Stegostoma tigrinum: one gene and its partners. Each later gene encodes a partner of the first gene's protein in a complex. Links are inferred from orthologs where the notes say so. Each region holds a gene or a part of one and is shown on either strand. Other genes may lie near its edges. The genes, in order: mcm3, gins2 and gins4.

Evidence for each region.
Region 2: mcm3 (region 1) and gins2 share a complex: the UniProt entries of both Homo sapiens proteins name them as parts of the CMG helicase complex. The link is inferred for Stegostoma tigrinum from reciprocal best matches to the Homo sapiens genes MCM3 and GINS2.
Region 3: mcm3 (region 1) and gins4 share a complex: the UniProt entries of both Homo sapiens proteins name them as parts of the CMG helicase complex. The link is inferred for Stegostoma tigrinum from reciprocal best matches to the Homo sapiens genes MCM3 and GINS4.

The regions. Positions count from the first base shown.
Region 1 is NC_081362.1:96,837,901-96,845,614, forward strand, and holds the start of mcm3 (DNA replication licensing factor MCM3), read left to right. Parts: upstream 1-4,710; 5' UTR 4,711-4,751; coding exon 4,752-4,820; intron 4,821-6,191; coding exon 6,192-6,304; intron 6,305-7,380; coding exon 7,381-7,589; intron 7,590-7,714. UniProt on the Homo sapiens protein: Acts as a component of the MCM2-7 complex (MCM complex) which is the replicative helicase essential for 'once per cell cycle' DNA replication initiation and elongation in eukaryotic cells.
Region 2 is NC_081369.1:52,205,214-52,213,035, reverse strand, and holds the start of gins2 (DNA replication complex GINS protein PSF2), read right to left. Parts: upstream 3,070-7,822; 5' UTR 2,988-3,069; coding exon 2,898-2,987; intron 1-2,897. UniProt on the Homo sapiens protein: Required for correct functioning of the GINS complex, a complex that plays an essential role in the initiation of DNA replication, and progression of DNA replication forks.
Region 3 is NC_081393.1:15,624,557-15,632,550, reverse strand, and holds the start of gins4 (DNA replication complex GINS protein SLD5), read left to right. Parts: upstream 1-4,914; 5' UTR 4,915-4,991; coding exon 4,992-5,087; intron 5,088-6,183; coding exon 6,184-6,270; intron 6,271-7,994. UniProt on the Homo sapiens protein: Required for correct functioning of the GINS complex, a complex that plays an essential role in the initiation of DNA replication, and progression of DNA replication forks.

The DNA of each region.
Region 1 (7,714 bases):
GAGTTGTGGGGAGGGGGGTCAGTGTAGGACTCGAACAAGGATTGTTCCACATACTGGGGATCCAATTGGCGCTCATAGCCACTCCTTTGACTTGGCAGAAGTGAGATAAATTAAGGGAGAAATTCTTCAGTGAGAGAAGCTCTGAGGAGAGTGGTGGTAGATGGGGATTGTTCAGGCCTCTGGTTGAAAAAGAAGCTGAGAGCTCTCAGACCATCCTGGTGGGATAAGGACGTATAGAGGGATTGGACACCAATGGTGAACAGGAGGCAGTTAGGACCATGAAACTGAAAATTGTCAATATTGCAGAGGGCATCAGAGGAATTGCGGATGTAGGTAGGAAGGGTCTGGAAAAGTGGAGAGAGCATGGAGTCAAGATAATGTTCAAAAGTCAGAGAAGAAGCTGTTCTCGAATCTGCCCGTGCTTGTGTTCAAACCTTTATATCTTCTGCTGAATGGAAGTGGGTAGAAGAAGATGGAAGGATAGGAAGTATCTTTGATTATGTTGGTTGCTTTCCTGAGGTATCAGGAGGTATAGACAGAGTCATTTGAAGGAAGGTTGGCTTTTGAAATGGACTGGGCTGCATTCACAATTGTCTATAATTTCTCGCAGTTTTGGGCCGAGTGGTTGCCACACAAAGCTATGGTGCTTTCGGACAGAATGCTTTCTATGGTGCCTCTATAAAAATTGGTAAGAGCCCTTGTGGGCATGCTGAATTTCTCTAGCTATCTGAGGAAGTAGAGGCATTGGTACACTTTCTTGTCTGTCACACCAATGTGGGTGAACTAGGGCAGATTGTTGGTGATTGTCAGTCACTCCCAGGAAATTAAAACTCTCGAACATTGCTACCTCAGCATCGCTGATGAAAACAGGTCTGTGTCCTCCATTCCACTTTGTGAAGTCAATGACCAGCTTCTTCATTTTGCTGCTGGTGATGGAGAGATTGTTGTCTTTACATATGCTGTTAAGCACTCTATCTCTTTCCTGAATTCAGCCCGCATCCCTCTAAACCCTTCCTGTTCATGTACCCATCCAGATGCCTTTGAAATATTGTAATTGTGCCAGGCTCCACCACCTCCTCTGGCAGCTTATTCCATACATGCACAACTGTCTGTATGAAAAAGTTGCCACTCAGGTCTCTTTTAAATCTTACCCCCCCCCCCCCCCACCTTAAACTTATGGCCTCTAGTTTTGGATTTCCTTACTCTGAGGAAAAAGACATTGGTAATTCTCCCTATCCATGCCCCTAATGGTTTTATAAACTCTATAAGGTCACCCCTCAGTGTACAATAACAGATGAATGGACACTGTGCAACAATCGCCAGACAGGAATCTTCCCTCCCAGTGGCAGAATATTTTAGCAGTCAAGGACATTCAGCCTCTGATCTTTGGGTAAATGTCTTGAAAGTGTTGTGAAGTTGGTGTGAGTAAAATTGTAAAATGTGTCATTCTTTTAAAAGATTGTTGTTTTTCAGTGCTTAGAGTTAAAATGGATGACTGACAAGCACCTTGAAGTGGAGGTGCACACAGAAAGAGCTTCCGAATTGAAACATTTTGTATTAAACAGTCAAGCAGCATGTTTTGAGAAGATTTGTAGCTCAGGTTGAGGTTCTGGATGTGAGATTGCTCGCTGAGCTGGAAGGTTAGTTTTCAGACGTTTGTCAAGCAGCATTTCACCAAGACAACAAGTCTTTTCAAATTTAGCCAATTAATTTAAACTAAGTCCTTAGATACTAAAATATTGTCAAATTTAAATCTGGTGGTGTTGACAGCATCGACCACTTGAGAGAGAGAGAGAGAGAAAGAGAGAGAGAGAAATTGATTGTCAGAATCATCTATGTATTAGATGAAGCACCATCTATCCTAAAACAGTACCACGGCATTTCTAGCTAAAAAAAAACTCACAGAAGCAATTACAGAGAAAAACATCCCTGACAGCAGAATCAGTGAAAGATTAGATTCCCTTCAGTGTGGAAACAGGCCCTTTGGCCCAACAAGTCCACACGAAAGACATTTGTGGCATAATCAGGAAGGCAGAGCGTTCCAGAAGACACAGCTTACACAAACTTGGACAGACTATGTTTTAATTTATTACTGCGTTATTAAGTGGGTTTATATAAGTGGGACTTGTGTTTATTGAATAGCATTCTATTAGAATTTAGTTTATTAAGGGAATAGTTAGTCTGGGGGGAGGGGAATCGTTCAGTTTGTTAGTACTTCTCTTAATTTGTTCATTGTTAGAGTTGAATAAATAACTTTTTTTCTTGTGGATCAGGGATTTTCTTTCTTTTAATCACTCTTTTAACAGAATATGAGGGGAAAGGTGAGCTTCTCTGGGAGTTTTGGGGGTAATTATTAGAAGGGAACCTCTACTCCCATCATAACTGATTGGGGCTTGTGTTTTGGTCTAAATATCAGCAGAGATCAGCCATTCTCCCTCCATAAGAATTCGGGGGCTTGTCTGGGATCTGGATGGACTTGGACAGCTCAATTCTGGCTTCTGGACAAATTTGGACAGATCATGTCCACAATCTGGCTGTTACATGTGGTGGGGGAAGAACCTGAATGGATTTGGACACGTTTAAACAGACTTGGGGATTAATGTCCTAGATCTGTTCCCTGGGATGCTCACTGCAATAAACATCACCTGTACCTGAAGGACCATCAACTCAGTGAAAGCTGCTCTTTGGTTTTTTGCACTCGCCACACGGTGTTTCGCCCATATATCCCACAAAGGACTGTGAGTGGACTCTAAGTAGTGACATGAAATGATCTTTATTAACTATAATACCATAATAACAATTATGCTACAAACTAACAATTAATACAATAAATCTGGCAAGTAATACTGGAAATCTAAATCAGAATCTTGTAATTTAACTTAATTTGGAATGATCAAATATCACCACACTAAACCTTGGCTTTAATACACATGGTGATGGGCATCTGGTCTTCATCTTCCAGTGATTCCAAGGGCAGAGGTGCCCTTACAGCAGTTGGTCTCAGGTTACTGCTCCCAAGGGTGCTGTTGCAGTGATTCTTGTCCTTGGAAGCCTCTGCAACCTTTTGGGAGAATCTTTGATTCCCAGCAATGGATCAATCAAGAATCAATTACCCTGATTGATCAGACCCAATCAGACAGTACCATGCAAATGGTGGTGTGGCCTTTGGTCTTCCATTTCTGAAAGTGTTAGGGGTACATAAATCAGGTAGGCTTCCCAGATATCAGACTGAGGTGTCCCTTTATTCTGGAAACAGCTCATTATTTTCTATTGTCCTGGTAAATAGGCTTAATCAATTGCAAATTGTACCACCTGCAGCTGCAGCCTGCCTGTCTGCGTCTATAGGTTGTTTATTTCAGTATCTTTGCACAGATGCTTCAGCCAATGCTTGGCTTGATTTCCCAGCATGTTTGGTGTATTATCCAATACTGCCATTTTTTAGTGGCCCGTTGGGCTACAGGTACGCACGGACCTTGTTGATCCTGACCGAGTGTTGCAGACTGGCACATTCCAAGGTCCAGGATTATGTGCTGAGGGATGCACACTAAAGCTTGGGGAAGCTGCTGTCAAAGTGTCGTGGGGGAAGAGCATGGTCTGAAGTCTTCCTGCTGAAGATAAATGAGAGTCCATTCAGTTAATGGATCCTCCCAGTGTGCCAAATATTTGTGAATATTGGTATTGTATGTGTGAGCAGTCTTTGAATTTGCGTACAGTCAAACTGCAATGTTTTGTACAGGAACAAAAACAAAGTTGCTGGAGAAGCTCAGTAGGTCTGGCAACATCTGTGAAGGAGAAAACAGAGTTAACGTTTGGGTCCAGTAGGCCACCAGTGACCTACCAGACGCAAAATGTTACCTCTGTTTTGTCCTTCACAGATGCTGCCAGACCTGCTGAACTTTTCCAGCAACTTTTTTTTTGTTCCTGATTTACAGCGTCCGTAGTTCTATTTTTATCCAATGTTTTGTATTTTGTTGACATGCAGCTGTGCAGAACTCCTAAGATGCTGTTTGGCCTGCTGCGTTCATCCAGCTCCACACTTTGCTATCTTGGATTCTCCAGCGTCTGCAGTTCCCATTCTGTCTGAACTGTTTTTGTGTCAGTGTATGTATACAAACTTTATGAATAAAATGTAGCTTTTTGCAATAAAAAAAGAGATTTCACTTAAACATATTGGGCTGTAACCTGGTGTCGTGTGACTTCTGACTAAGGCAGACCTAGTCTATTATTAGAAACGTGAAACCCCTGACCATTACAACCCTTTAACTCTGACTTTGAAAGCATCTATCGCATTTGATTACAGGGAGACTCGGATCCTTTGTTGCGTTAGTCCCTTTAAATAGGCGGAACCAGAGACCGGGGCGGGGTCCGTCTCAGAGGCGTGGTCTATGGCCAGGGCCGGGCCAATGCCGTGGAGGAGAGATCAACGTCGGGGGCGGAGCCAGTGTTCAGGGGCGTGGCCGTCGCACAAGGGACATGATACAGTGACCAAGGGGCGGGCCCTGTATCCAAGGGCGGGGCCAAGCGTTCAGTCTCGGCTTCAGTGCCCATAAGGCGGACCCTACGTCCAAGGGGGCGGACCCTATCTCCTGGAAGCGGGCGGGGTCTGTGTCCATGAGGCCTGGGCTGGCGGTGACGGGGCGGGGCAGTGCGTGTCAATGTGACCGCGGTGCATTCTCCGATTGGTCCGGGGTTTTTCGCGCGGAAGCCGGTCCCACGTGACTCAGTTTGGCGGGAAAGCGGCGGCGGTGAAAATGGCAGCGGTGGAGGATCCGGCTCTGAGGGAGGCTCAGAGACAATATCTGGACTTTCTGGATGATGAGGTGGGGGCTGTGGGGGAATAGGGGTCAACGCCGGCGATGAGTTTGGGGGGGGGTGCGGGGTACTGGGCTGGGTGCCTACCCTACTCCATGGGCATGTGTTTCCTATACCCCTCCCCGGGAGGGTGCGACCACTCGGCCCGTCCGCCTTGTTCACCCTGACCCTTCCACCCCACTTTGCACACCACTCCCCCATTTCGACTCCCCTTACCCAGCCCCTCCCCCATGCCCACTTCCCCTCCCTTATACCCCACACAAACCATCCCCTTCACCCCCCTCCCCGACCCTCATCGCCCCCCCCACTTCCACTCGCCACCTCACCCTCCTCCCCCCGCTACTTGCCGTTCCACTTGCACGCCCCCACCCCATTTCACAACCCTCCACTCACTTCTGTTGTGCTTCAGGTGACCCTTTTGACCGTCTCCTAGCTTGAAGTAAAACAAACAAGTACAGCTGCTGCAGATCTAAGACGAACAGAAACCGAATTTGAAACTCAAAAGGCTGAGTACATCCGTGGGATGAAAGCAGAGTTAATGCGTTGAATCCGGTGACACTTCATCCAGGGCTCCTGCCTTCTGATTTTTATTCCTGTATCCCTTCCCAGTTGCCAAGCAACATCCAGCGGTGTTTACCTGACACCTGCTTCCCTTGGTTCATAATTTGACTCAAAATGAATGTTTGAAATGAAGTATACATGAGTGCACACAAACGAGGAGCAGAGGAGGCCACTCAATCCCTCAATCTGGCTCTGTCTTTCAGCAACATCAATGCTGATCAGATTGCTTTTTTTTCCCGGCTACCTGCATAAACACTTCTTCTCTCCTCGCTTATCAAGTAGCTGTCTATCCCAGCCTCAGAAAGATTCTGAGTTATTCTGTCACCATGCTGAAACCAACATGCAAAGAGACCAGAAATGTAAACAGAGTGTTGAAAAAACTCAGCAGGTCTGGCAGCATTAACATTTTGTGTCTGATATCTTATTCAAGAGAACCTACAGCATGTGATTTGCAGCAGTTTAAGAGGGCAGCTCACCAACACCTTCTCAAGGACCACTAGGGACAGGCAGTAAATGCTGGCCTGGCCAGTAATGCCTATATCTTACAAGTGAATTTCAAAAAAACAGTGGTTCCAAAGATGCTGCCAGACCTGCCACGGTTCAACAGCATTTTGTTTTTATTTTATTAATTGTGCACCTGTTCTTGGGTGAAGCTGCCCCTGACATAACCAAATCAGTCCAACTTGAAAGCGGTCACCTACATCAGAGATGGTTATATCCCTGATGGTGATTTAATCAGTTGCTTTGATAAGCTTTTAAAGAGTAAAGGACCAGTTGAAAGAATTTCGGGCTAAGGTTTTTTGCATTCTTGCCAACAGCAAGACCAGGGGATTTACCAAAGTAAGGTGAGGGACATGATCAGTGACAACTTGTACCGACTGATTGTCAACATCAATGACCTGCGCAGGAAGAATGAGAAAAGAGCGACACAGTAAGTACCTTGCTCAGATAACAAGGTGTGGAGCTGGATGGACACAGCAGGTCAAGCAGCATCAGAGGAGCAGGACAGTTGATGTTTCAGGCCTACACCCTTCTTCAGAAATGCGTCTAGGCCCGAAACATCGGCTTTCCTGCTCCTCTGATGCTGCTTGGCCTGCTGTGTTCATCCAGCTCTACACCTTGTTATCTCAGATTCTCCAGCATCTGCTGTTCCTACTATCTCTGAAACAAGTACCTTGCTCACTTGTCTAACCTGAACCCACTTCACTTCCACAGTCCCCCTTTACTGTATACTGCTCTTGCCTGATGTTAAAAATCTTGCTAAATAGGACTTTAGTGTGCCTGAGCATGCTCTGCTGTTCAGTGCGATAATAATTGATTTTCATTATCAACTGCCACTTTTTCTTATCAGGGTTTCATATTCCATTACTCCATCTCAGTACATAACAAAGCAGTTCATGCTCTCTTGGGCAGCTTTCTGACACTTTTCTCCATGGCATTTAGAAATGGACAATAAATGTTGGCCAAACCAGCAGTGTCCACATCCTGTGAATAGTTAGGGGGGAAGTAAAACAAACTCCAGAGAGACTCAATCCCCTGAGTGAGGAACTTTCTCATCTGTTTGAAACATATTTTAAATGTGCTCGAGGTGGCGGAATGATCATGAAGTGTATGTTGTTGGATTGATATGGATGTTCCAATCTCTTGTTCCAAGAGAGGTACAGCACCCCTGGAGACAATTCAGCCCCTGCTCTTTAAAGGATCAATCCATTAAGCCACAGTAGTCAGCTCTGTCACCACCATCCTGCAAACATTGAATAGATATCTTTTTGGAGCTATCACTGAATCTGTAGGCATCACCTTTGAGTGCATTCCACGTCAAAGCTCACTTTTCTCTTAAAAGAAACCTCCTCATGTGCCCTTGGTTCTTTTATCATTCTAAATCTGTCATCTCTTGTTACTGACCCTTACTTCCCTCACCACTGGGGGTTGAGGTAGTATATCTTTAACATTTGAAAACCTGTTGCAGATACACTGAGCCAGTTAACCTTTGTCTAATTTTCTCAGACTGCTGAGCAATTCCTTTGAAGAACTCCTGGCCTTCCAGCGAGCGCTAAAGGACTTTGTTGCCTCAATTGATGCCACCTATGCCAAGCAATTTGAGGATTTCTACATTGGACTGGAAGGCAGCTTTGGATCCAACCATGTCAGCCCACGGACCTTGACCTCTCGGTTTCTCAGCAACGTTGTGTGTGTGGAGGGAATTGTGATCAAATGTGAGTCTGATTGGGTGAGACTGGGTGCTGCTCTGTGTTTGCATTTTGTTTTGTTCGTGACTTCGGCGAACACTCCTTGCAGTTGGTTCTCATTGATTGAGGAAAATGAGGTTGTTAATAGACAG
Region 2 (7,822 bases), on another chromosome or scaffold:
AATATTTCACTTCTCACCTTGACCCTATGCCCTCTAGTTTTGGATTCCCCTACTCTGGGGAAAAGACCTTGACTAGTCACCTTACCAAACTCCTCATGATTTTATAAACCTCTATGAAGTCACCCCTCAGCGTCTGATGCTCCAGGGAAAACAGCCCCTCCCAGCAGTTCAAACTCCCCAATCCTGGCAACATTCTTTTAAATCTTTTTGGAACCCTTTCAAGTTTCACAGTATCTTGACTATAGCAGGGAGACCAGGATGGAACACAGTATTTCAAAAGTGGCCTAACCAATGTACTGTGGAGGCAGAATATGACCTCCCAACTCCAATACTCAATGCTCTGACCAATGAAGGTAAGTGTACCAAACACTTTCTTCACTACCCTGTCTACCTGTGACTCCACTTTCAAGGAATTATGAAGCTGCATCCCAAGGTCTCTTTGTTGGCAACAGTCCCCAGGGCCTTGCCATTTACTGTACAAGTCCTGCCTTGATTTGCTCTACCAAAATGTAGCATCTCATATTTATCTAAATTAAACTCTATCTACCACTCCTTGGCTCATTGGCCTATCGGATCAAGGTTCCGTTACTCTCAGATAACCCACTTTGCTGTTCATTACACAACCAATTTTGATGTCATCTGCAAAATCACTAACCATACCTCCTATGTTCACATCCAAGTAATTTTTATAAATGACAGAAAGCAGTGGACACAGCACCAATCCTTGCAGTACACTGCTGGTCACAGGCCCGCAGTCTGAAAAGCATTTTCCACCAACACCCTTTTGTCTCCTACCTTCAAGCCAATTTTGTATTCAAATGTTTACTTCTTCCTGTATTTATGTGTTCCAACCTTGTTAACCAGTCTACCAGTCAGAGCCTTGTCGAATGGCTTAAAAAGTCCATTCAGACACTACGCATCACACTGCCTTTGTCAAACCTCTTCATCACGTCTTCAAAAAACTCAATCAAGTTAGTGAGGCATGATTTCCCATGCACAAAGCTATGTTGACTATCCCTAATTAGTATTTGCCTTTCCAAATACATGTAAATCCCTCTCCCTCAGAATTCCCTCCAAAAACTTGCCCACCACTGATGTCAGGCTCAGTGGTCTATAATTCCCTGGCTTTTCCTCACCACCTTTCTTAAATAACGGCAGCATGGTAGCAACCTCCAGTCTTCAGGGACCTCACCCGTGGCTATCCGAGATACAAATATCTCAGCAAATGGCTTCCCAAGCTTCCCACAAAGTTTTGGGCACACCTGATCAGGTTCTAGGGATTTATCCACCTTTATGCATTTTAAGACATCTAGCACCTCCTCCTCTGTAATATGGACACTTCAAGATATTGCTATTTATCTCCCCAAGTTGTCTAGCTTCCATATCCTCCTCCACACCAAACACTGATGCAAAGTACTCATTTAGTATCTCACCCATCTCCTGCAGTTCCAAACATAGGTGGCCTTGCTGAACTTTAAGGGGCCCCATTCTCTCCCTAGTTACTCTTTTGTCCTTCATGTATTTGTAGAACCCCTTTAGGTAATCCTAAGCCCTACTTGCCAAAGCTATCTTATTTCTCCTTTTTGCCCTGATTTCCCTCTTAAGTTTACTCCTACTGCTCTTGTATTTATCCAGGGATTCATTTGATCCCTGCGGTCTACGCTTGACATATGCTTCGTTCTTTTCCTTGACCAGAACTTAAATTTCTCTAGTCATCCAGCATTCCCTACACCCACCAACCTTCACCCTGAGTGGAACATACTTTTGCTAGACTATCGTTATCTCATTTTTGAAGGCTTTCCACTTTCCAGCCATCCCTTTATCTGCAAATATCCACATCCAAATTAACTTTTGAAAGTTCTTGCCTTATACCATCAAAAGTGGCCTTACTCCAATTTAGACCTTCAACTTTTAGATCAGTTCTATCCTTTTCCAATTCCTAGAAGCCTGATACTCCAAGAAGAAAGCCATCAACAAACACAGAGAACTTGACCCCATATACACGCCATTGCAAAGGAAAACCAGAAATGAGGTAATCCAGCTCAACGGACTCCAGTTTAAAAACCAGGTGGGAAAACACAACGGTACTTCATCAGAGACACTGATGAAGTTACCCAGCGGGGTAATGAAACATCTGCAGAAAAACAAAGAACCAGCTCAGCGAGCCAGCCACAACATCCACAACCCGAACTACAAATCTACTCCAAAACCTTATAGACTAATAGAATTATGATCACTGGCCCCAAAGTAGCTCCCACTGTCACCTGCCTTATTTCCCAAGAGAAGGACTAATTTTTGCTATTTCTCTAGTAAGTACATCCATATTCTGAAGAGGTAAATTTTCTTCTGCACACTTAACAAATTCTTCTCCAAGCGAAGCACTATGGCATACCAGGCTATGTTTGGAGCCTGCTCTGCTTCTCCAGCAATTTCTGTTTTTTGTTTCAGATCTTCAGCATCAGCAGCCCTTTGTTTAATTTTGGATTTCAAACTTGTCAATTTGCACTTGCCTAATTATTGTCTATTATTAGGAGCAAGTATAAGGATTAAAATGTTTCAAGACGTGGAGCTTCCTTGTTTACATTTCAAGTCACAAACCTTTTTTGAAAAAAGTCAGTCAGTCAGTCAGTCAGTGTGATTTGGAATGATCCAAATTAATCTGAAGACAATCAGAGATCTCTTGCTCTAAACATTTTACATTTTTGTTGATCCCAATAACAACAGGCTGTAGGAAAATATTTCCTCCAACTCTACAGCACTTGTTACACATAATTTATTATCATTGATTATAAATCTCTGGCCTTTTAGTTTAAACTTGCTCCATGTGTAAAATGCTTTAAAATATAAATCATAGCCCATGAGCCACAAGAGGGGGCAACTTGACAAAACACACTCACAGTTATTAAATAGATTTTATCCAAGCTGAAGTTGGGAATAATAGTCACAATCTGCTTCTCTGCGAGAAACTCCACTTCTGAAGGGTCCATTGCCGCATTTAACCGCTCGCTCCCGGGTTTAAATCACCCGCCTGAAGCCTGAGACAGCTTCCCGCGCAAACACCACCGGAAATAGGGGTGATGTCACTCAGCCGGCCCTTTGACAACTGGCCCGGCCCCCTTGACAACAGACCCCGCCCCCGCGACAACTGACCCAGCCCCCGTAACAACAGACCCAGCCCCTTGACAACGGACCCCGCCTCTAACAACGGTCACCCCGCCCCGAGTAGGGATCCGCCCCTTGACGACGGAGCCCGCCCCTGACTACGATCCCCACCGTTCCCGGCCACGTCCCGCCCACTGACTGCACTACATTCCCTATCCCACAGATGTTGGGAACTGCAGATGTTGGAGAATCCGAGATAACAAAGTGTGAGGCTGGATGAACACAGCAGGCCAAGCAGCGTCTTAGGAGCACAAAAGCTGACGTTTCGGGCCTAGATCCTTCATCAGAGAGGGGGATGGGGAGAGGATTCTGAAATAAATAGGGAGAGAGGGGGAGGCGGACCGAAGATGGACACAGGAGAAGATAGGTGGAGAGGAGAGTTTAGGTGGGGAGGGGAGAGGTCAGGGAGGCGGGATGAGGTTCGTTGGTAGGAAATGGAGGTGCGTCTTGAGGTGGGAGGAAGGGATGGGTGAGAAGAAGAACAGGTTAGGGAGGCAGAGACAGGCTGGGCTGGTTTTGGGATGCAGTGGGTGGAGGGGAAGAACTGGGCTGGTTTTGGGATGCAGTGGGTGGAGGGGAAGAACTAGGCTGGTTTTGTGATGCAGTAGGGGAAGGGGAGATTTTGAAACTGGTGAAGTCCACATTGATACCATTGGGCTGCAGGGTTCCCAAGCGGAATATGAGTCGCTGTTCCTGCAACCTTCGGGTGGCATCATTGTGGCACTGCAGGAGGCCCATGATGGACATGTCATCTAAAGAATGGGAGGGGGAGTGGAAATGGTTCTCGACTGGGAGGTGAAGTTGTTTATGGCGAACCGAGCGGAGGTGTTCTGCAAAGCGGTCCCCAAGCCTCCGCTTGTTTTCCCCAATGTAGAGGAAGCCACACCGGCTACAGTGGTTACAGTATACCACATTGGCGGATGTGCAGGTGAACATCTGCTTAATGTGGAAAGTCATGTTGGGGCCTGGGATGGAGGTGAGGGAGAAGATGTGGGGGCAGGTGTAGCACTTCCTGCGGTTGCAGGGGAAAGTGCCGGGTGTGGTGGGATTGGAGGGGAGCGTGGAGCGGACAAGGGAGTCGCGGAAGGCAGACAAGGGTGGGGTAGGAAAAATGTCTTAGGTGGTGGGGTCGGATTGTAGATGGCGGAAGTGTCGGAGGATGATGCATTGTGTCTGGAGGTTGGTGGGCTGGTACGTGAGGACTGGGGGATTCTCTTATGGAGGTTATTGCGAGGGATGAGGTCCGGGAAATGCGGGAAGCACAGTCAAGGGCACTCTTGACCACTGTGGGGGGGGAAGGTGCGGTCCTTGAAGGACATTCCCTGTCCATACACTTCAGGCTCGGCCTATTTGAATAAAGACCATGCCTCCTTAGTAACAGACTACGCCAATCAAGGCACAGACTCCGCCCCTTGACAGTCCCCCGTTGCAAGCCGTGCCCCTTGCTTGCAAGGCCTTCCCCCTTTGCCAACAAGCTTAATGTTTACGTTGTCTAAAGTAAAAACAGAAATTGATGGAGAAACCCAGCAGGTCTGACAGCATCAGTGGAGACAAAAACAGAATAGAAACAATGGATGTTGGGAAAAGTTGTTTATAACCTGAAGAGATGGGCGGGGAGAGGAAGCTAAAGGAGTAAGAAGATAGCATCTGCAGTTCATGTTTTCTTCAAAATCATTGATGGAGGTAGACTCGAGAGAGAGAGAGAGAGAGAGAGACAGATAGTTAAGGAGAAAAAGCGATTGATGATAGTAAGCCAGGCAAGGAGAAAATGTATATTCTGGTTGCCCTTCTTTAGGAAGGATGTTGCTAAACTTGAGAAAAGATTTACAAAGATGTTGCTGAGTTGGAGGGTTTGAGCTATAGGGACGGGTTGAATAGGCTGGGGCTGTTTTCTCTGGAGCATCAGAGGCTGAGAGGTGACCTTATACAGACTTGTAAAATCATGAGGGGCATGAATAGGATGAATAATCAAGGTTTTTCTCCCTGGGTAGGGGAGTCAAAACTAGAGGGAAAAGGTTTAAGGTGAGAGGGGCGGATTTAAAAAACAACCTGGAGGGTAACTTTTTCACACAAAGGGTGGTGCATGTATGGAATGAGCTGCCAAAGAAAGTAGTGGAGGTGTGTACAAATACAACATTTAAAATATTTACCGGGTGGGTACATGCATAGAAAGGGCTTCGAGTGATATGGGCCAAATGCTGGCAAATGGGACAAGGTCAGACAGGGATGTCTGGTCGGTTGGCCAAGTCGGACTGAAGGGCCTGTTTCTGTACTGTACAACTCGATCAAAAGCTGATGAAGGGGTCCATAAGTGAGTAAAATTGAGTTGGCAGTGCTGAAAGCAGCCCTTATCATGACAGACCTGGGTTGTAGGGGTGGATAAAGGATATTGAAGAAGATGTTCAGGCTTTATTCGATATCGAGTCCTCAAGGCTCCGGGGGGGGGGGCGCTGCTTGAGCAGCCAATGAAATGCTGTTTTTCCAGCTTGCGGTGAGCCTTGCTGAAGCAATGCAGCAAGCCTGAGACAAAGATATTGGCCAGGGAACACAGTGGTATGTCAAAGTGGCGGCCAACTGGAAGCTTGAGGCCATTTTTATTGAAAGAAAGTAGGTGTTGAGCAAAACAGTTGCTCAGTCTGTGTTTTGTCTCCCCAGTGTGTGGGTGATCACATTGTGAGCAGAGAATGCAGTAGACTAGATTGTCGAAATACAGGTAAAATACTGCTTCATCTGTGTGTGGACTCTTGGATAGTGAGGAGGTAAATGGGCAGGTGTTACACCTTTGGCAGTTTTAGCGGAAGGTGCCGTGGGCATGTGAGGACATGGTGGGAGTGGAGGAGGAGTGGGCCAGGATGTCCCAGCTGGGACGGTCCCTGCAGAAAGCTGACAAAAGAGGGGAGGGAATATGTATTGAGTGGTGACATTCAACTAGACGTGGCAGAAATGGCAGCTTATGATCTTATGGATGCGGATACCGGTGAATCGGAAAGTGAGAACCAGTGGTCCCTATCTTTGTTGAGATGCAAAAATTTCATCCCCTATTCCCAATTCCTCCACCCTCCGCCGCATCTGCTCCCACGATAAGACATTCCACTCCCGCACATCCCAGATGTCCAAGTTCTTTAAGGACCGCAACTTTCCCCCCACAGTGATCGAGAACGCCCTTGACCGCGTCTCCCATATTTCCCGCAACACATCCCTCACACCCCGCCCCCGCCACAACCGCCCTAAGAGGATCCCCCTCGTTCTCACACACCACCCTACCAACCTCCGGATACAACGCATCATCCTCCGACACTTACGCCATTTACAATCCGACCCCACCACCCAAGACATTTTTCCATCCCCTCCCCTGTCTGCTTTCCGGAGAGACCACTCTCTCCGTGACTCCCTTGTTCGCTCCACACTGCCCTCCAACCCCACCACACCCGGCACCTTCCCCTGCAACCGCAGGAAATGCTACACTTGTCCCCACACCTCCTCCCTCACCCCTATCCCAGGCCCCAACATGACATTCCACATTAAGCAGAGGTTCACCTGCACATCTGCCAATGTGGTATACTGCATCCACTGTACCCGGTGCGGCTTCCTCTACATTGGGGAAACCAAGCAGAGGCTTGGGGACCGCTTTGCAGAACACCTCCGCTCAGTTCGCAACAAACAACTGCACCTCCCAGTCGCAAACCATTTCCACTCCCCCTCCCATTCTCTAGATGACATGTCCATCATGGGCCTCCTGCACTGCCACAATGATGCCACCCGAAGGTTGCAGGAACAGCAACTCATATTCCGCCTGGGAACCCTGCAGCCATATGGTATCAATGTGGACTTCACCAGTTTCAAAATCTCCCCTTCCCCTACTGCATCCCTAAACCAGCCCAGTTCGTCCCCTCCCCCCACTGCACCACACAACCAGCCCAGCTCTTCCCCCCCACCCACTGCATCCCAAAACCAGTCCAACCTGTCTCTGCCTCCCTAACCGGTTCTTCCTCTCACCCATCCCTTCCTCCCACCCAAGCCGCACCCCCAGCTACCTACTAACCTCATCCCACCTCCTTGACCTGTCCGTCTTCCCTGGACTGACCTATCCCCTCCCTACCTCCCCACCTATACTCTCCTCTCCACCTATCTTCTTTACTCTCCATCTTCGGTCCGCCTCCCCCTCTCTCCCTATTTATTCCAGTTCCCTCTCCCCATCCCCCTCTCTGATGAAGGGTCTAGGCCCGAAACGTCAGCTTTTGTGCTCCTGAGATGCTGCTTGGCCTGCTGTGTTCATCCAGCCTCACATTTTATTATCTTGGAATTCTCCAGCATCTACAGTTCCCATTATCTCTTATAACTGTGGGAGTTAGTTGGTTTGTAATGGATATTGTTGGCCAACCTAACATCTGAAATGGAAACAGGAAGGGAGGAGTCAGAGATGGACCAGGTGAAGGTGAGAGTGGGGCAGAAATTGGAAGCAAAATTGATAAATGTTTTCAGTTTTGGATGAGAGAGGAAACAGTACCAATAATGTCACCCATGTACCAGCAAAGTTGTAGGGAGATGCTTGAGCAGGACTGGAACAGGGAGTGTTTTACACACCCCACAAAGAGACACGCATGACTGTGGGTCATTTGTGTACCAGTGGCGACACTTTTGATTTGAAGGAAGTGAGTGA
Region 3 (7,994 bases), on another chromosome or scaffold:
AATGGCAGGCCCAGAAAGAGCCAGTGCTGAGCCGGAAGATGGGGGAACGTTGTCAGCTCTGAGCGTCAGAGAGCATTATCTGGGCAGGACCGAGACTGCACTGAGCGGTATTTATGTGGCTTGTTGTTTGTCTTTGTCTTGAGTAGCGTAGACACTGAACCCCGCGGAGAACATCCCAGGAAGGACCCACTTCCCTCTCCACCCCATCCTTCTAAACCTGCTGCTTGTCTGAAGTCATCGTGACACGTGCTCTTGTGATCGTCTGTTTGCATTGAATGTGTTTTGTTCAAGAACTTGACATTGTACAATATTCATGTACTTTTTCAAATAGAAATAAAGACTTTTTTTAAAAAAATATGTTAAGTGCTTACTCCTGTAAGTGTCCTCATTTAGCCCTTGGGGGTGGGTTTGGTCAATGTGGAGGGGGTGAATGACTTTAATAACATGATCTGGGAAGGATCAGGCCTCTTTTTCACTTACACCTGATATTTCACAGTCTAAAACAAGGTTTGTGGTTGCACTCCCTGCTTAGTATTTCATATAAAACCTGCTGTTGTTCCTCAGCTTGAACTTCAGCCTGAGACCCCTGTGATCTCTGGGGACGTGGTGTGCAGGTGTGTCGGTGGTCAGAGGTTGGTGTCCCCGACGGTCAAGATCCAAGATCTTAGTCTCGATGCGTGCCAGGGAAGGGGCTGGTTGTTCTCCCCTCTGCTGTTTTTGGATTAGATTGTGTTTTTAGCAGGCCAGGAGGCTGCTGATAAATTGCTAACTTGGTCAAACAGCAATGGATGCTGAGTGCATTGGCCAAGTGAAACTCTGAAATCACGAGGACACGGCAAACACAGCAGCCTGGTGCTGATGACGTGAGCCGAATGTAAAAGGCAACAGTGATCCTGGACAGAGACATCCCCAAAAAAGTGTTGTAACATTAAGGGGCCAAATGGGATAAAAGAGAGTATGTTTAGCATTAAAGCTGATTGCAGTTTCGTTCCGAATAAAGTGGGGTTGTTTTCCTTTGGTACTGGCTTGTGTTTGTAGTGATCTGACCACTGTGGGGCATCTGGACAAATTATGTTCAAAACATTCTGGCTGCATTCTGTAATTTGTTTAAAGAAGAACAGTGGTAATGTCTTTGCAATCCAGACCCTCCAAACGAATGCTCTGGGGACAAGGGATCAAATCCGACTATGGCAGCTAGTGATATGTTAGTTCAGTTACAGAAGCTGGACTGAAGATCTAATCTAATGTCGAACGTTGATAACCAACAATTTGTCCTGAACTTCCCACATAGAGGCGACAGTCAAGAAAGCAAAACAGCACCTCGTCTTCCTCGGGCAGCTCAGGAAATTCAGCATGTCCGTGAGGACCCTCACCAACATTCACAGATGCACCATTGAAAGCACACTGTCCGGGTGCATAACAGCCTGGTAATGGGAACTGCTCCGTCCAGGACCATAAGAAACACCAGAAGGTGGTGTGCAAGCCCAGACCATCACAGAAGCCAACCTTCTACCCATGGACTCCCATCCACATTTCTCATTGCTGTGGAAAGGCAGCTGATGTTATTGAAGACCCCCCTGCCCCCCGCCACATCCCAACCCCAGTTCTACTCTCTTCCAATCTCTTCTGTCAGGCAGAAGATACAGAAGCTTAAACACGCATGCCAACAGGTTCTAGAACAGCTTCTTCCCTGCTGTTATTAGACTGCTGAATGGACCTCCCCAATTTCAAATCTAATGTGTTTCGGTGCACTCCTATACAGCTGTAACCCTGTATGCCATGCTTTGTTTGAACACCCTGTGGTCTGTATGTTACGATCTGCCCCTACTGCTCGCAAACAAAACTTTTTACTGTGCTTAGGTACATGTGACAACAATAAATCAAGTCAAACCATTGTCCGTTGATGATGAACAAAAACTCATCATGTTCACTGATGTCCTTTAAGGAAGGAAACTGCCATCCTTACCCAGTCTGGCTGACGTGTGACTCCGGACTTGCAGCAATATAGTTGACTCTCAACCCTTCTCTATGCATTTAGAAGACATCCCGTAAACAGATACATCAACAGTTTTCAGCCCTTCATTTCTGCAGAAGGACCTTGACCTGAAATGTCAGCTTGCCTGCTCCTCCGATGCTGCCTGGCCTGCTGTGTTCATCCAGTTCCACATTGTGTTATCTCAGACTCCAGCATCGGCAGTTCTGACTGTCTCGAAACAGTTTTTAGCTGTTCATCTGCAGCTCCAGTCTAATTACTTGTTTAAAAAAAATAGTGATAGCAGGTGAAGAATTAGTTTCCAAAATGGATCGTTGGACAGGCTGTGCTTGAAGTCTCGGAAGTGGAAGGGGATGGATTTAGTGGCAGATGCACCAGACTAAGCAGGGTTTCCTCAACTACTGACTCAAGAGGGATTGAAAACGAAAGCAAGGATCTTGAAAGTAGAGCTAAGGGAAAAAATGAGACCTATAGTTGTTGAAAATGCTTGAGCTACAGGATCTTCGATCACCTTAAATCTGTCTGCTGCTTAGGGTAATGAAACATCTGCTAAGTAATGAAGCAGCTCAGCGAGTGAACGAACCACAGCATTCACAACCTGAGCTACAAATCTACTCAAGAACCGGAGAAGCTGACTCAGGAGCGGCACAGTGGCTCAGTGGTTAGTATTGCTGCCTGACAGTGCCAGGGACCCAGGTTCGAATCCACCCTTTACGTGGAGTTTATATGTTCTTCCTGTGTCTGCATGGGGTTTCTGCCACTTCCTTCACACACTCCAATGATGTGCAGGTTATATGGAATGGTCATGTTGTAGTGTCCAGGGCTGCACAGGCCAGGGATACGGTGGGGTCTGGGTGGGATGTTCTTCCTGCGGACTTGATGGGCCAAACAGCCAGCTTCCACACAGTAAGGATTCTACAAGGAAACCACTTGCAAAACCTATTCTTGATGGAGACAGGAAGGTATGCACAGGGAAGATGACGTTCGATGACAGACCTTCATGGGGGAACAGCACCTCTCTGACCTTGCAAAGATAGGCCCAAGCTGAAATAGAGTGGCATTTAAGGACAGTGAGCTAGGATGTGGTGTCTAAAGAGACATAAGCATTTAATCTGTACTTAACAAAAGAGTCTGGCAAATCGATCATACGCACTGGACAGCTGGCCATTAAAGGTCAAGCAAGCATTATAATCACTTTATCCGTGACCATAATACTAAGGTTTTATCTGAAATTATCACTTTGTAATACACTAGTACCGAAATAAAAATTAACTGTAATGGTTCCCAAACAATATTGATTTGCATTCAGAATCTCCCTTTTGCCTAACTAAGGATGGATGAACATAGGCAAAAGGAATAGATTAAAAATGGGAGATTTTTTCAGTTTTGCATTTGGCAAGTCTCCAACAGCAATTATAATTCAAGATTCCATATTTGAATGTGTTAATTTTTAATGCCAAAAGGTCATTTGTGAAAGGGTTTAAGACTGGATTTTCAGAATTTTACTTTTCTGTGGTTTATTTCCAAGTTTCATGTTGACTATTGTAGGAAAAGTGGACAGGTTAGCACTGAGAAATGGTGAACTGTAAATGTGACTATTACAGAAATGATCCTTTTTGTTTGCATAGTGCCAGAGACAGTCTACTTCTTAATCTAATCTGTCATTGCCTGTGGCCAATAGCAACAAAGGGCAATGTACTCGTATTCATTTTCCACAGTGAGGAATGATGCATAACCACTTGGGTAAGGTTTTAATGCAAACAGCTGTATTAAAACACTGAGGAAGGAGATTGCGCTTAGGCACAATTGAGGATATGTTCCTGCATTCATGGCCATTGTAAGAATCAAAGGAACCTTCTCTCTATCTTCGAGACACTACATTCCAGATAATAATTTGCAGCCTGCTCCTTCTGCTAAAATTCTCTTCACTCTCCATATACATTATTGAATAATGTCAAATTTGACCTAATTTAATGAGCAGCAAAGTTATCCACTGGCTGAAAGATCACTTGAGGAATAAGGTTCTCATTGTCACCCTGTCCTAAGATTTCAGGGTGAAGGGTTACAGAAAATCAGGTTGTGATCAGAAAACCGAAGAACTGTACAGCACGGAAACAAAACCTTCGGTCCAACTGGCTGCAGCACAGACACCAGAACTGAATGCAGTGTTCCAAAAGTGGCCAAACCAATGTCCTGGACAGCCGCAACATGACACCCCCAGTCCTATACTCAATGGTTAGAGACAAAAAAACTAGAATCTGGAATCCAAGGTGGACAAACAGGAGGCTGGAAGAACACAGCAAGCCAGGCAGCAGCTGGACGAAAGGAGAAGTCAACATTTCCGATATTACCCTTCTTCAGGACTGAGGGCCTGGCTTGTTGTGTTCTTCTGGCCTCCTGTTTGTCTATCCTTTCCTCAATGCACTGACCGATAAAGACAAGCGAACCATCGCCTTCTTCACTACCCCGTCTCCCTGTCACTCCAAAGAAATCTGAACCTGCACTCCCCCACGGCATGACCGTGAAGTGTTTTAGAGAAACAAAAGTCGATACACAGTTAAGTTTTCTATGTTTTTTTAAAAAAAATTCACAATTCAGTCACGTTCAGGGGGATAACAAATCGAAGGAAAACAACACACAAACTTAAGGACAATGCAATGGGATGGGCTGGACTAGTTTCCCTTCGTCAGGCTGCAGACAGCTACATCCGCCTGGAAGAAAGATGGCGACGATTCCAATGGTCACAGGGGTTCGGCGTGGGGGACGCGGCCTTGTCTGCGCGATGACGTCAGACGTTCGGCGAAGCGGGCGTCCTCGCGGTGCGGTGAGGTTACCGCGTTCGGGACGTGTGTCCGGATGTCAGTCAGGAGGCGGGTCCACGAGGCGTCGGGCTGCGCGGTGACGTAAACGATGGGGGCGGGTCCCGTGCGCGATGACGCCAAACGTCGCGGCCGTGGCGGGAGTTTGCAGTTGAAGCCTCGGGTCTGCGTGAGTGACCATGTCCGTGGAGGTGATGGTGGGTGGAGAGGGCCTTGACGACGAGGAAGAGGAGGAGATCCTGACCCCGGCGCAGCTCATTGCAAAGCTGGAGGAGGTGAGGGGGGAAGGTGGGGTTAGGCCTTGGTCGCTGCACAGTAAGATCCCACACTGAGCACGGGCTTTTCCTCCTGACTCCCCGCAGACCCTGTCCCACCATCGACAAGTCAGGAGGGCGATGGAATACCCCCCACTCGCCCCGGATGGGGGCAGCTCCAACAACAGTCGAGAAGCTCAACACCATCAGGGACAGAGCAACCCCCCCCCCACTCGATTGGCGCCACATCCTCAACCATCCCACTCCCCCACCCCCAGCACTCAGAGTCACAGCAGTGTGTACTGTCTACGAGATGGACCTCAGCAACTCACCGAGGCCCCTCAGGCAGCACCTTCCAAACCCACCACCCACTTCCATCCAGAAGGACAAGGGGCAGCAGGTACATGGGAACAGCCCCCCAAGCGGGTTCACCCTCTGAGCCCCTCATTTCCCCCCTGACTTTGGGAAACATATCGGCCGTTCCTTCAGTGTCGCTGAAACCCTGGAACTCCCTCCCTGAGGGCACCGTCCCCTACACCCCATGGGCTCCAGTGGTTCAACAAGGCGGTTCACACCCACCTCGAGGCCTGTGAATAAATGCTGGCCCGGCCAGTGACACCCACACCCTGTGAATTTTGTTTTCAACGCATCCCTTTCGCTGGTAGACACTTGTTGTTGGTTTGTTCCTGAGACCACCCTGTCCCTGCACAGCAGAGGCTGAGAGTTTTCTCTGTCAGATTTATCTCAGGAATTCCTAGACTTAATTGTACATCTCACATTGATTCCAGTGTTTGGTGGTGTGCTATCTTCACGCATTCAGACTTTGCAGAGGGTGTAGAAAGTGAGGTAGTAATGGGGTCATGGACTATATTATGTTCGATTATCCTGATGTACTTATGGAAGTTATGATGTGTCCGGTTACTCCCATTAACCAGTATTTTTTGCTGTATCTCAATACATGTGACAATCATAAATTGAATCAATATACCTGATATGTAAAACAATAATACTGTATCTGTCTGCAGTCTAGGTTTTGATCGCTCTGTGATATTCAATTTGGGATTGTGTCTGCTCCTCTTACAGTTACTGTCCGTGCCTGTCTTTCATCTCTATACAGGCGTGGCTGAATGAGAAATTTTCCCCTGACCTTCTTGAACATAAGGCTGAAATTGTGGAGTGTGTCATGGAACAGCTGGATCACATGGTAACAGTTTTGTATTTTTCGTTGGGGGAGAGGAGGTGACACCTGTTCGGTGCAGTTTTGAATTTGCGATTGACGGGCACGACCAGAATCTGATTTCCCTGCCAAATGAGATGATAACGATTTGCTGTCCTGGAGTTACCTGGCAGTGCAGAAATTGATTTTTGCTGAGTTACTCAAGTCATCAGGACGTATGCCAGAATGCCGAGTTTCAAACAGTCATAATGATTTCTTTTTTTGGGAGAAAAGGGAGTTGATCAGTTGGCATGTCAATTCTGACTGGTTACAATGTCAACATGGTGAAAGCAAGGGGGAGCAAGAGTTCCCCAACGTCCTGGATAACGCAATTAACTCCGCAAAGGCCAGTATCCCACCACCAAGTCACCATTCATTTACACGTGCATAGTATATGACACTGAGCCGGTTAGCTCAGAGCCAGCTCCTAGAGTGAGCAGAATGCCTAAAACTCCTGTATATGTCTGTCAGCTAGGTCATATTCTGTGAGGTCCACCTGGCTGACCTTGTTCCAATCATTTTGAGTGCAAAGTGGTTCACGGTAATCGCAACTTTGCAGTCATGGCTCACCTCTCAACCTCCTATGCTCCAGTGAAAAAAGGCCTTGCCGATCCAGCTTCTCCTTATAACTCAAACCTTCCATTCCCGACAACATCCTGAGAAATCTCTTCTGAACGCTCTCCAGCTCAATAACATCCTTCCTATAACAGGGAGACCATAAACAATGAAGTCAGCTGTGCTAAACACCTTAACCATCATGTGTACATGTGACGCGAGCTTTGAAAAATTATGTACCTGCATCCCTCTGTCCTACAACACTACTCAAGGCCCTACTATTATTTGTACAAGTCCTGCCCAAAAGTGCAATACCTCGCATTTATCCAAGTTAAAATCCATCTACCATTCCTCAGCCCATTGGCCCAGTTGACCGAGCTTGCTTTGTGATCTCGGATAACCCTGTTTACTGTTCACTATACCACCAATTTTAGTGTCATCTACAAACTTACTTAAGATGCCTTTTATATTCTCTTTAAAATCATTTCTATAAATGACAAATAAACGTGGACCCAGTACTGATCCCTGTGGAACACCACCGGTCATGGCCCCCTGTCTGAAAAACAACCCTCCACCACCACTCTGTCTCCTGACATTAAGCCAATTTTGATTCCAATTGACAAGCTCACTCTGAATCTCATGTGATATAACTTTTCCAATTAGTTGATCATGCAAAACCTTGTCAAAGGCTTTACTAAAGTCCAAGTAAACAATATCTACTGCTCTGCCATCATCAATCTTCTTAGTTACTTCCTCAAAAAACTTAAATTAGTGAGACACAGTTTCCCTCGCATTAAACCATGCTGACTATCCCCAGTCATTTCTTGCATCTCCAAATGGATGTAAATCCTACCTTTCAGAATCGCCACCAGCAGCTTAGCTACCGCTGAAGTCAGGCTCACAGGTCTGTAGTTCTCAGATTTCTCTCTGCACTCCTGCTTAAACAGAGAAAGGAATCTGCAGGGCTTGAGGTGAAAGAGCATAGCCTGAGTCTAAAACTGGAGAATTTCACGACAGAGCCAGTGTCAGTACAGTGGGCCGAATGACACAATCGGGTGCTGGTTGTGTTCTCAATGTGACAGCAGCTGTATGGCAGAGGACTGTAACAACTCTCTTGTGACACCTTTTTAAAAAAATCAGTGAGGCAAGTCCCATCC